Nothobranchius furzeri: one gene and its partners. The protein of the gene in region 2 purifies or fractionates together with the protein of the main gene of each other region. This does not show direct contact. Links are inferred from orthologs where the notes say so. Each region holds a gene or a part of one and is shown on either strand. Other genes may lie near its edges.

Region 1 (4,522 bases), on a different chromosome or scaffold from region 2:
CTGCTAGAGATGAACACATGAGTTTCTATAGGTCTTGTTTGGACATGAGACGCCTGAGTGGTACTATCTGATGAAGATGATAAAACGCTGATCTATTTATAGCCCTAATGTGACCAGTGAAGCTCAGGTCTGAATCAATTATGACACCAACATTTCTAACCTGGTCCTTTGTCTTTACTCCTCTGGAGCCAAGCTGATCAATAACCTCCAACCTATCCTTCTTATTTCCAAAGACAATAAATTCAGCCTTGTCTTTGTTTAACTGGAGTAAGTTTGACTGCATCCAGTCATTGACTTGCTCCAAACACTGACAGAGTGAGTCTAGAGGACCACAGTCACTAGGTGATAGATCTAGGTAGATCTGGGTGTCGTCTACATAACTATGATAGGCAATGCTGTTATTGTGTATGACTTGACCCAGGGGGAGCATGTAGAGATTGAAGAGCAGTGGTCTGAGAATTGAGCCTTGGGGGACCTCACAAGTCATAGTGATCAGCTTTGATTTGTGATCACCAATAGAAACAAAACACCTGTCTTCAAGATAAGATTGGAACCAACTATGGACTGTACCTGAAAGTCCCACCCAGGTTATGAGCCTATCAAGAAGGATGTTGTGGTCCACAGTATTAAAAGCTGCACTGAGATCAAGCATCATAAGGACAGATGTGTTGCCTGAAACTGTATTTAGACGAATATCATTTAATACTTTATTAAGTGCAGTCTCAGTGCTTTGGTGTTGTCTAACTATCTAGCAGGTTGTCTCTAAAAAGTTGTTCTGCTGGATCATAACAGCTTTTTCAATAATTTTCCCAATGAAGAGCAGATTAGCATTCTGCCATATGTATTGTATCCTGATGTAATGAGCCACCACTACATATATCTATTTAGTCTAGCTTGCCAGGCTAGGTCTAAGTGACATTTCATTAACACTGTAAAGGGTCATTTTTAGCATACTGGCTGAAGAAAATGATTGAAAAATATGAAAATGTTGCAAAGTATCCCTTTAAACAGAGATTTGAATTGCACATGCTTACACATTAGGGTTACGCAACAATTTCCCCTTTTTTTTTTCTTTTATTTATTTTTTATTTTTATTATTATTTTTTTTTTTGTTCCACATAATGGAACTTGTAAAACTCCATACATTCTGTTCTGGCACATGATGGAGAAAGTTTGTAGTGGGCGCGGTTTTATGTGCTGCGTCACACTTCATATGATCTAGTGTAAGCCATCCATTGGTTAAATTAGGTCAACGGGGGTTCCCTGCCCCAAATGCAGGGGTGGAAAAAATAAATCGAAGGCATCACTACGAAATCGTCAATCTCTGGCACAGCAGAGATCATATACGGCTGTGGTAGAGAGTGCACACAATTACCTGAAATACGTTGTATTTCAGAACCGTTTACAGTCGACCATTCGTATTTATTTACTAAACTTGAATTCTGTCTCCATAGATAGGTCCTTCATAAGGTAAGTTAGCCTTTTAGCTAAATCAGCTACCAGACAAACCGGCAAGCTAATCTGCATTGTCTAAACCACAATTACCTAGTTACAAACAGTTGTTGTCCGAAGTTGCTAACTCTTTGTTTAGTTAATGGTCAAAAATAACCACATTAGCCACGAACGCTGACATTTTAAATGTTCATTCGGTTTGTCAACTTGTTTTCTTTTATCTTAGTTCTCGTTTTAATAGTTCGAAAGTGTAAGTTGTTGATTGGGTTAATAAAGTTTGGCAAAACGTAATATGTCTATTATCTAAAGCTTTACCGGCAATTAAAGGGCTGATAGTTCTTGATTCAACGTTAATTTCAAGTCCACTGATGTCTTATGGTGAGGTAACGTCATGTTGACTTAGCTTTCAGCACTCATATTAGGATGAAAGGCTCTGGTTTTGTACGAATGTAAAGTGTTGGTAACAATTTGTTGGCAGTTTATTCCCAATGCTTTCTTGTAACGTCTGAACATTTGCCAAATTTTAAAGCTTTCCCCGACTCACAAAGTGCCCATAGCTGGAGGAAAAACGACGACGCCACAAGTTAGCCAGCGCTAGTTAGCTTGCTAAACTCGAAGTTGCTGTTGTTTCCTGGGTTAGCGTTAGCCATTTCAGGTGACAGTGATGTGGTCTGTAAATGGACATTTACGTTCTGTTCTTACTGTATGATTTATCTCGTGTTAGCTGTCAGCGTAGGTACACTGTGTTCCTGACATGTCTGCAACCTGAGCACACAAAGAAAAAAAAACGAATCGGTCACGTCATGTCGTCTGTGAACATGCGACAAATGTGAGATTAGCAAAGTGTTGTCAGCACAGACATGAAAGGCCTCATACACCAGGCCGTTCATCTACAAAGATTTGCGCAGATATGTCTAACACATGTATGCAACTATTAACTTTGAAGCGGAATTGATTTGTTGTAAAGCCCGTGTAAATCTCCCAATATTCACGAACGTCTGCACAAGACGCTTCCCTTTTTTTTTTATTTACACCCGGTTTCCCCCTTTGTTTGATTGCATGATTCTGATGGCGCAGTTGAATGTTGGCTAAAATGTTAGCCATTGTGCAAATGATTTAGCTAAGATTGTGACCAGATAAGGATCACCTGTAGGTGAATTGGTGATCTTTATTGGTGATGTTTTTAGTCAAGTTTTTTAATTATATAATTGTTTACGTGAACTGTCTGGGTCTTTAAAGGAATGTTTATAATTATAGCAAAATGCTGAATAAAATTGTCACGTGAAATGTGTCATAAAGATAAAAAAACACTTGGGTCTCTTCTAATAAAATTGTCTTAATCAGTTAAGTTACGAAAATCAGTGAACTCTTCAGAATTGCACATGTCAGCATTTTTCATGATAAAGGATTTAAGTATTTTACACTACTGCAGGTACTGTTCTGCTGAAATTTAGATCCGAATCATTGAGTCTGACGGTCAGATTTTTTTGCCATCTGTTCGTGACCATGGTGTTAGTAAAATTTTAGCCATTAAACAAGCAAAACAAACTGAAGCAGTTGTGTAAAAAGGAAACAATATTTGAGTTAGACATTTTTTTCTTGTTTACATAAACACATCCTTGTTACTCAGCTAAGGCTCAGAAAGCATAAAGATGTAACTGTTCTCAAGTAATTTATAACTTGAATTTCAATAATGAGTAATCAATTAGTCAGTGTTCCCAACTACTAACAGGTTAGAGTTGGACTATAATGATAAATGACCTGCTCTTGTAGCGCCTCTCAGAGTCAGAGGACTCCAAAGCGCTTTACACTTCAGTGCAACATTCGTGCATTCACACAGTGGTAGTGATAAGCTACAGTGTAGTCACAGCTGCCTTGGGGGTGCATTGGCGGAGGCAAGGCTGCCGAGCACATGCGCCAACGGTCCCTCCGACAATCACCACCGGCAGGCAGGGAGGGTTAAGTGTCTTGCTGAAGGACACAACAGCAGAATTTTCTTCCAGGAGCCGGTATCAATCCTACAACCCACTCTACCTCCTGAGCTACTTTCTTCTAATACTTTTATTGGCAATAAATTCCTCAAATGTTGTCCTCTATAATTAGATATTAACTTTTTTGCCCTGATTTACTGTAGCTATGTGTTTGAGATCACATTCTTAATTTTTTTTTTTTTTTTTTTTTTTTTTTTTTTTTTTTTTTTTAGCACTTAATATTGTTTACCAAAGAAATGGTGATGGAGAAGCCAAGTCCCCTGCTTGTAGGGCGGGAGTTTGTGAGGCAGTATTACACACTCTTGAACAAGGCACCAGATTTTCTTCACAGGTAAGTATATAAATGTAATTAAGCTTTTTTATGTAGACAACATTGTATTTTTTTATGACTAACTGTATATTCAGGTTCTATGGAAGGAATTCTTCCTATGTTCACGGGGGGCTTGACACAAGTGGGAAGCTGGCAGAAGCAGTGTACGGGCAAGCGGTAGGTGCTACAGCTTGATAATGACAATTCTCTTTGTTAATACGCTTTTGAAATGGAATATTCTGAAGTTGGGGTTTTTAAAATGGGGATTGACCACCCTAGAATTCTGGGTTTTTCTTTTTCTTTCTGGCTCCACACCCTTCAGGAAATCCACAAGAAAGTCATGTCCCTGCAGTTTAGTGAATGCCACACAAAGATCCGGCATGTCGATGCCCATGCCACTCTGAGTGATGGAGTCGTGGTTCAGGTCCTTGGAGAACTGTCAAACAACGGTCAACCTATGAGGAAATTTATGCAAACATTCGTGCTTGCTCCAGAGGTGAGTGCTCCCAACGTTCAGATTAGTTCACAAGTGTGAAATCGACTCCTAACCAGTAACTTACCACAGACATTACTTTTATATTAATCTTGTATTAAAATGCAGTATATATGTCACCTATGTCATAATGGTCAAATGTTTGAACTGTCATCATAAAGTAGCAAAAAGGTCAGGCATGGTTAATTAAAATCATTGTTTTATGGTGAAGCTTAAATGATCTGCATTAAAATGTCTGAACTATGTTGCCAGGGCTCCGTGGCAAACAAGTTCTAT
Region 2 (4,713 bases):
ATTTATTTTGTTGGTATGTAATTTAAATTATTTTGACAACACATTTAACACATATGACACACACTGGACATTTAGTCACGTTTTGCTTTTAGGAAGTCTACAAGTACATTAGCCTTTACTAGGTTTTACTTTTTTACTTTACTATTATTTGTGCAAAACGACAAAATCAAGATATAAGGTCGTTAATAAAAATGTTTGACTTGTTGTACATAAGACACAAAATGAGGGGCAATTTCTGCTTTTGGCAAACACAGATCTGCGAAATTAAACGCGATCAAATGAGTTTTTGTGGGGGAAAAAAACTTAGTCTATAGTATTAAAACGCTGGTTTTTAATTATATTCCTTAATTTAACACGATTTGATCGAATCAGTGATGGTTATAGCCACTCAAAATAACCTCAAGCACTTACGGTTCCTTTGGCAGAGGATGAAAGATGTATTTTGTTTTCTTGGTAGTTTGCTAACAGCAAAAACTGAGACTCAAGCACAGAAGAACTAGTAAATTACCGAACTGTCGACACACTAATGTCTCTCTACGGAGGCCGCCATGCTGTTTGTAGACTAGTGCTGTAATAACTGCTGTAAAGACGCACTCGCATTTCTTTGGCTATGTTTTTTTCTGTCGTCACAATTGATCGATGGTTCATAAATGAAACTGACAACAGAACTCAGAGCCGCCACACTTGTGAAAAGGTGGATGGATAAAACGTAATTAAATACAATTTAACACGATACGTTGTGAACAGTTTGCGTTTATAATTTATCAGGTGCCTGCCACGTGTACAGCTGAATGCACCATTTGTTGTATGTTTCAGCGACACCTGTTTAGATCAATTAATTAATTGATTATTTATTTATTTGTGCTCGGCATTCCACGTAGGCGCGCGCTCAACGCACGTGAATTCACCCCCATCTTTTTTTTCAGCAGGTGTTGTGTCAAACGGATAGTCCACCAGAAACGGAAGTGCGTCCGCGGGAGCGCGCGCTAAACATTGTCGGCAGCATTTCCTGTTGTCTTCCGGCATGGTTTAACATTAGTTCCCACCACCTCAATAAAAGCAAATTAAAATTAAAAAAGTATATTAAAAGTGTATGCTCACACATTATACATATTTAAGTATTCTTGCATTTTCCCACAGAGCAGACCTATACGCGTATTTGCTAAGGGAAAAAAAAACCTAGACAGAATAGGTTTATAGCAGTACATCAAGTGAACGCTGGTTGCGCTCGTGCCCGCGGACGTGAAGCAACTTTTCACACCACAGCAGTTTTGGCACAACACCTATTTCCAGTCAGCAGCGCGCGGATTGAGTCAAGTGAACCTACCGAAAGGTGGTGTTGACCGACCGCAGCAGGTTTTCAGTTAGAAACCTGAACATTTCAACCTCCTAAGGCAACTGACTGGCAGTAACGCCAGGTCCTTAGTTTATTACGGAAGAGCCAGCAGCGCCGGAGTTGAGGCTACGAGACCGACGGGAGAAAGTAAATCCCGGGGGGAAAGCGCCCGAAGTGAGCTTGAGGATCAAAGCTACCGCTAACTTAGCCAGTCACTGCTAAATAATTAAACGGAAACTGGTGGCTCTTTACTGGTTGTTTTTTGACGTAATAATTGGGGTTACAGAGTAAATACTTTGGGGCAATTTCTTAACTTATTTATTACATTTTTATTTAGTTACCGAAGGGTTTTGCCTCAGCGTTTTAGGCCACAGGCGACAGTAGCCGGTCTTTTTGAGGTTACACCGGCTCTGGTGCTAAACATAGTTGGATTTTACTTCCGCTTCATTACGGGAGGTATCAATTTTGATAAATTAGGTTAAACTTGATATTTTCTAAGCCTTGTGCTTCGCAATGCTGAAACCCCAGCAGCAACCCGGCTCAGGCGGGAGAAAGGCATCCAACGGAACGTCAGGCCCAGGCGGTATGTCTTCCCCAGTCAGCGGCAGCAGGACATCGACTGCAAGGTAAGCGAGTTGGGTTCTCTTGGTGGGATAGTCCGAGGCTTGTCTTCTTGTGTCTGAAAGGCCTACCGGTTGAAGTGCTATGCTACGGGTGGGCGTGGTTTAAGAGTTATTCAGTTTCAGCCAATTACATTACTATTTTATTGATTGACAGCAACGTTGAACCAATAAGAAAACTTGATTTGTTCTAATCCAAAACTTTGAGGCGGACCTAAGTGGGTGAAAACAATGAGCACCATAGCATAACGGGGATGCAAAGTTTATGTGGCCTGTCAGTGCTAAAGAAAGTACGCGTATTTTTCTAATTCTCGTAGTCAGTAAAACGTGTTATTCTATTTTTAAATGTTACACTTAAGATATTTTGGGCCTACAAAATGGTCTGGTGTTATTTTTTCAGAAGAGAGTGTGTGTGTGTGTGTGTTCACTGGACTCGATGAAGCTGTCTTTGTTTTGTAACCAGCTGCGATGCCCTTATTTTTACTGAATGCAATTTAATTTAGATCGTTCTGAAAACATTTTTAAATGGCTTGAATAAAGAAATAAATTACATTAACATAAATCGTGTTAGGTCAGCGTCTGTTACTTAAAAAAACAACATGTGGAAAACAAGCACCTGCTAAAAATGTGTTTTCGGAAAGATGGCTCTGACTCCCTATGATAGCATTTAAATTCCTAGTGTGTGTGTGTGTGTGTGTGTGTGTGTGTGTGTGTGTGTGTGTGATGGCACGAATCGTACTTAACAGCGTCCGACGTTTATTACAGGAATCGAACTTCTGCAAAGTCCTCTTTCCAGTCGCCACCTGTGAGTGTTCTGAAAAATGTTGATCAACACACACACACACACACACACACACACACACACACACACACACACACACACACACACACACACACACACACGGTTTGTGCACATTGGACACAATAGTTGTTTTTATTTTAAAATAGGCTTGCATCAGTGAATGTGTAAAAACCAAACCTGTCAACAAGTTAACTGTGTAATTATGTTACAGTTTTTGCTTGTTTTACATCAAATCTTCAGAAATCTGTCTTGATGCATAACTTTTGTGTGTAGGTGTTTGAGGGTGTGTACAACAATGCCAGAATGCTTCATTTCCTCACAGCTGTTGTGGTAAGTCAGTTTAGTCATTGTTAAAACTCTTCTCAAAGCAACTCATCAGCGCAGTATTTTCCTGCTCCTGGTGACTAAAGGTTGCAGAATAAAAGTGCATGGATTTGTGTCGTGGTTTGTCATTTCCTCAAATATACATGGTGTGTTTTGTAACTTTTTCTCCAAAATACTCAGAAATAGGGGTAGACTGACATATCGATCGGCGAATATATCTGGACGATGTTTACCGTTTTTATACATCGGCTGATATCTGTCCTTAGTAAAGCCTAAAGTCAGCCGCTTCCTTGGGCACCCAGTGCTGTTGCAGAATTTAAATTAAATTAAATTTTGTGTTCACAAATAACATCCGTATAATAAATACTCTAAATTAACTTAATTTAGTTGTCTGACACTGACAAGTGCACAGCTGGTTAAATTTAGAGTTCAAAAACTTGATTCAGTTTGAGAAATTGTGTCAACTGATGTTAATAGTGACATTTTAGCATGAAAATCAGGTGGAAAACGTGTCGATCTAGGCCATGAAAGTTGGCCCATAAGTTCGTCAGTACATTTTGGCCATGGTCTGACCATGTCTCCCGCATGTTGATGATATTGACAATTAAAAACAATATCGGTTGACTCCTGTTTGAAAATTCTTAGATGGCAAATATTGTCCTTCTGTGTGCAATATTTGTGAAACCAAATGATTTTTCTTGCAGGGATCCACCTGTGACATCAGAGTGAAGAATGGCAATGTGTTTGAAGGCATATTTAAGACTCTCAGTTCTCGGGTAAGAATTTTGTCTCCATCAAATAAAAGCATGGCATTTTTGTTTTTGATTATTTGCCCTAGAAATAATTCCAGTAATTAAAACCTCTTCCTATTGAAAACCCTAGCCATTCATGTGGTTCCAGATCAGCTTTTTTAAACGTTTGAAAGCAATGGTAGGCACAATATATGATAAAATATTACCAATGGCTCCATTGAGATGTCATTAATACTGGCAAGTGTAGCTGAAGAAGAAGAAGAAAAGGTTACTTCTGTCACCGGCAGTCAACCCTGTGCAAAACGACATGCCAGTCCAGCACTCTAACCACCAGTCGCTTTGTAGGCAGGATGCATGGTCTTTACAGCGGTGTTTAGTCACAAATGCAGAAGTAATTTGTCAGAATATCCAGGTTTCAGAACTGAGACCACCAGCTTCAGGTGGAGGAGAAGTGCCTGGTGGGTTTATTCCGTTTGTAGGACAAATGTTTTCATCGACTAAACTGAAGTTCAGACATGAAAATGCACAAATGGAGCCAAAAAAGGGTTTGGCGGCATTTCTCATGAGGAAATGACTATCACACAGTAAAAAGTTCCAAAAATAAGATTATCCATGATGTGGAACCTTTAAAGTTGGTAAAAGTCAGATTTGTCCTTTCTCTGCTGTGTCTGTTGTCAGTGTGAGCTGGCTGTGGACGCTGTACACAAACGCAGCGAGGAAGAGGGCTCAACATTGGTTCCGCCACGAAGGGAGGACATCACAGACACCATGATCTTCAACCCTTCAGATCTGGTCACAATGATCTGCAGAGATGTTGACCTCAACTTTGCTACTAGAGGTACATACAAATGCAAACTCACAGCGGGGGGGGGGGGGGGT
Region 3 (4,612 bases), about 13 Mb from region 2:
TATTAGTTCTAAGTAGATAGAAGATAAAATATGTTATTTTAAAAATTTAAGACCAGAAAATTTTATAATTCATTCATGTAAACCTGAAGTGAATGTGGTATTTCAAGAAATATTTAAAGATTTTACAACTAAATTCTTCATATTCGGAGGCTCCTATTAAGACAAAAGAAAGGATTTTATTAAACAACCTGACTGTGTATTTAAATAACACTATGCATAAAAAATCATAATAGAACAATTGAAGTAATAAAAAGATGGCCTCATGTCAAGATAGGTTGACAACAATAGGATATTTATATGAATCTTTCTGGGAAGATCTAATCACATTTATTTGAGGTGAAAATTTGAACATAGAAAGATTCATTAACATTTAATAAAGCAAGACCCTTACCCTAATCCATCCATTTTCCTCCGCTGATCCAGGGTTGGGTCACAATTGGGCCAGTTCCTCTGGGGGAATCCCAAAGAATTCCCTGGACAGACAAGAAATCAGTTATCAAGTTGAACATGCCTGGAAACCCTCACCAGGGAGGTGTCCAGGAGGCATCCTAACAAGATGTCTGAGCCACTTCACCTCGATGAGGAGGAGCAGCGGATCTACTCCAAGCCCCACCCTGTTGTCCTGGGGGGAATTGCTTAGCAAGATTCCCCAGGAGACAGAGAAGTCTGAAGGCAAAACAACAATGATGTTGTGAACCTGGGTGTCTGTGTGTATTTGTTAGCGGCTCCGCCCTCTTGGTCTGCCAGGCAACAGCAACAGGAAGAGGGAGTAGAGTAAGACTCTGGTAGGGGGCGACTTGCCCTTTAATTATTATTCATCATCAAATGTTTCCTTATTACTAGAAATATTAGTTTGAGGTAAAACTTAACTATGAGGAACAAAGCTGTGCTTATCCTTAGAATAATTAATCAGCGCCAACAACATTTGAAAACAGTTTGATGAACACATTTTCCCTTTTATCCACATTTTTTATTGAAAGTAATTAGTACATTTTTGCACATTTACAAAAAAGAATATATGTAGATACAGTTTTGATTCCTTTTGTATTTTCCACATAATAAAATAGTTAATAAGGGAGGGAGCTGGGGGGGAACTTGTTGGAGTTAACATACTAGGTCCCAGAAAAATGATTTACATAACAAAACTTTGTAACAAATTAACATACATTATGAATTATTCCTGAAACCAGACATAATTAGATGCGTGTTTAGGATGTTGTTTTACTGCTGCTGTGGTATGGTCAAATCAGGGAAGTGACGCATTAGTCAGTGTTCGCTGTAAACCTTTGCTCTAAATGACTGATGTGTTTTGTTTTAAATAACGCCTCTTTCTTTAAATCTGTATGATCCGTAAATCGCCTGACGTACTGTGTGGGGTAAGGGTAATATATTCAAAGAACATTTGAGGTAAAGTATGCGTAATATTTGTCAATGACCTTAACTCGGCGTACGAGGGCACGCCCAGATTCGTCTTCCTACGCCACCACGTTGCTTTACGTAAGGCAGGCGCTCCGGTTTCCTGGCGGAGAAGATGGCGGCTCCTGGACCGGGGGAGTATTTCAGCGTCGGGAGCCATGTCTCCTGCCTCACCTGCTTGGGCCAACGGCTACAAGGAGAAGTGGTCGCTTTTGATTACCAGTCCAAGATGTTAACCCTGAGTATCCTTTGTTTGTTTCTCGCTGCGGACGGATGGCTGGCTGGCCTGCCTGGCTGCACAGGCCTGTAGGGTAACCGAAAATATGTCAAATAGTGATCCGCGCAGGCGTAATTGGTGGGAGCTGAGTTACACATCTTTGTCCGTTTTAAGTTATTTCATTTTCCGAAGTAGTTGTCCATTTTTTTGTGAAATTAAGTCATCATTTGCGTTTTCTTGGTGTTTTAATGCGCCTGCTCGGACGTACATGTGTTTTGAATCCACTCATTGTATTGGCAGCTCTCGACATGGATCACTATTTGGCATCATGGCTGTGTGCTCTCAACAGTTAGCAGGCTAACTGACATTCAGCGCATCTCGCTCTGACTTGTGTCCGCACGTGTATCTCACACAGTCTTCACCCACAGATGCCAGCGCTCGCTTTAATGAGTTCGTTTTATTTTCTACGACACCCATCGGAGCTACAGGGGAAGGGCTGCTAGCTCGGCTAACATGCTAACTTTCGTACAAACCATTCCACCCATATTCTGCTCGGAAGCTATGTTAACGCTAGTACGCATCTAAGGTGTGTTAGCCTGTTTTTATTGCGAGTTTATCACGATTTTATTTTCTTGTGACACAAATTAATTACAGCTAATCACGATTCATTTGGGTTAGCATGCTGAGCTGATCACAACTAACCTTAGCTTGTCTGTGAGCATGCTTCCATCCCTTCATGGGAGGAGGATATAGGTGTATGATAAAATGTAGTCATTTGATTAGAGGCTAATTTAAAATTAAAATAATACGCTAAACTTCTGGTGTAGTGACAGTCTACGTGACCGAACTGGCATATGACTCAAGAGGGTTAAAAAAAGAATGAATGGGTTTGACAGTGAGGGCGTTCTGTGTCTAAAACATAACTACGTCACTCATTTAATGTATAATTTCCCCCAAGCAAAATTGGATGTATGATTTTTCTAAATTAAAGGCTTCAAAATGTTTCTAGCTATAAAAAGATGATTGAAATCTTTAAGTATCTGTTGGAAGTGGGGATGTTTGAACAGATGGACCCAAGTTCTGCTCTGAGGTCTGGCAAAACTGGACCTTCTGTAATTTTCACAGGTTATAGCGTCACCAGGTAACTTGTGAATATATTTACATACAATACAGTTCCATCTGTTGATTTCATCATAAAGTACTAAATGTACTAAAACATGTTTTGACACTTCTCATAAAGGTTCCCATTTGGATGTTCATAATTTAGACCGGTAGTGACATTTAAATGGTTTTAGTGAATCTGTCAGCATTTTTGTGACAAATTCAGTACAGTGAAACTACAAACATGATGTTAAAAGCTAATTGTGTTTTTGGTGTTCATGTCAAATGTCCAGATTTTCTCTATTGTGGGTCAGTGTGCCAAAAATATCGTGGAATAAACCCCAAAAAGAGACTTGTTTTAGAAACTTCCTGACAATCTTGCCTCTTGTTAACCAAAGTGAAAGAAAGGATCATGTGTTGAAACTGTCGATGCTTTTCTGTTTCCACTTTCAATATGTTCTCGTGTTTGTTTGCTTCTATCGGCATCCCCTAAATACTTCGGCTTGCCATACAGCCGTTCATTCCAGGGTGAAATGCATCAGGATTTAAATGTGCATTTAGATTAAAACCCTCAGTTTGAATAAATAAATGAGTATTTTATCAGTGGAATTAGATTTTAAGATGAGTGATTTGTTGGAAACATTCCAACAGAAAAACAGATTCAACACGCTGCAAGTTTAATCAAATATTAATCTGAGAAAGAAGACATTTGTGGCTGTGTGCAGGCTGTCTAATTCCTATTCCTTCATTCATGTGTTGCTGCTGTAGGTGGCAGCACTGCCCTCAGCAGTCACACGCTGTAACTGGCACCACCTTTCACTGTCTGGTTATCAGCCACAGCTCCTATCAGAATGCAGATGGTGTTCGAGTTCCTCGGGGTCAGATAACAATAGTAATTTTGTTCTTCAAGTCAGTGTCGTGAAATTTTCTGCCTTAACTTGTGTCTTTAAAGAATGCGCTTCCTCCAGTGGTAAGTCAAACCTCAACGACGTCATCCTGATCAACTTAGCCTATGTATCTGAAGTGGACATAATAAATGACCGGACTGAGACTCCACCTCCACTAGCATCTCTGAATGTTGGCAAGGTGAGTTTGTCTCATTTCTGCTGCTTTTGCCATTAGAACAATGTTGTGATACATTTGAACTCAACGTTCAGCTGTGATGTGTCACAAACAGGATCCATCGATTCTAAGATCCTTATTTATTCTAACTTCAAAAGCCCGTACAGCGTGGCTCTTGTACGTTTGTGGTGCATTTAAATGGACAAAGTGGCACATATCCTGCCCCTCATTAACATAAAGGTGAGGTCTGGGTTTGTAAGGTGCGACTGGCGCAGATGTGTGACCTCAGAAAACCACTACACAGATAAATGTGTTTATTTTCCTTTGAAAGGTGCCTCATTTTAACAGTATCACAAAAATTTCTAACAATTCTCTTGAAATGCTTTATTATATTGGTCCGATTATAATATCGTTTTGGTTAGCCTATAGCAAAGGGAATGCTGCATGTTCCTGTAGCTGTGACAACATACCTAAATGATCTTACGGTGCACTTTGGTGATTTTCTACGGCAACTGTTCCCAAGCTTTTCAGCTTCAAACTAATAAAGTACAAAAGCCTACAGACATCTCTGATTAAAAATAAATAAAATTGGCAAAAAGAAAACCACTTTAGCTCCATTCCCTTATATACATTTTCGACAAATTGGTTGTCTTTTTAACAATTACGCTAGAAATGTAGCTTCAGCAGTTGTTTTTGTTTATTGGAAATCATCTCAAGGCCTCCTGTGTGGTTATGGACCAACAGAGGGGTCCTGACTAGAGGTCGACCGATATTTGTTTTATAATTGAATTAATGTGAATTTTAATTTATTCAGTC

What was found. The genes of interacting proteins can lie anywhere in the genome.
Region 1: the proteins of atxn2l (region 2) and g3bp2a purify together in Homo sapiens (affinity purification with mass spectrometry; 4 studies listed by BioGRID and IntAct, counting the BioPlex papers as one, with this or other methods). This does not show direct contact. The link is inferred for Nothobranchius furzeri from reciprocal best matches to the Homo sapiens genes ATXN2L and G3BP2.
Region 3: the proteins of atxn2l (region 2) and lsm12b purify together in Homo sapiens (affinity purification with mass spectrometry; 4 studies listed by BioGRID and IntAct, with this or other methods). This does not show direct contact. The link is inferred for Nothobranchius furzeri from reciprocal best matches to the Homo sapiens genes ATXN2L and LSM12.

What each region holds. Positions count from the first base shown.
Region 1 is NC_091744.1:13,117,755-13,122,276, forward strand, and holds the start of g3bp2a (ras GTPase-activating protein-binding protein 2), read left to right. Parts: upstream 1-1,288; 5' UTR 1,289-1,470; intron 1,471-3,655; 5' UTR 3,656-3,679; coding exon 3,680-3,774; intron 3,775-3,848; coding exon 3,849-3,930; intron 3,931-4,075; coding exon 4,076-4,249; intron 4,250-4,498; coding exon 4,499-4,522.
Region 2 is NC_091756.1:34,773,419-34,778,131, reverse strand, and holds the start of atxn2l (ataxin-2-like protein), read left to right. Parts: upstream 1-1,640; 5' UTR 1,641-1,849; coding exon 1,850-1,962; intron 1,963-2,695; exon of another isoform or gene 2,696-2,711; intron 2,712-2,721; coding exon 2,722-2,761; intron 2,762-3,031; coding exon 3,032-3,088; intron 3,089-3,786; coding exon 3,787-3,858; intron 3,859-4,512; coding exon 4,513-4,672; intron 4,673-4,713. UniProt on the Homo sapiens protein: Involved in the regulation of stress granule and P-body formation.
Region 3 is NC_091756.1:47,423,208-47,427,819, reverse strand, and holds the start of lsm12b (protein LSM12 homolog A), read left to right. Parts: upstream 1-1,378; 5' UTR 1,379-1,531; coding exon 1,532-1,658; intron 1,659-3,686; coding exon 3,687-3,820; intron 3,821-4,612. UniProt on the Homo sapiens protein: Nicotinic acid adenine dinucleotide phosphate (NAADP) binding protein. Confers NAADP sensitivity to the two pore channel complex (TPCs) by acting as TPC accessory protein necessary for NAADP-evoked Ca(2+) release.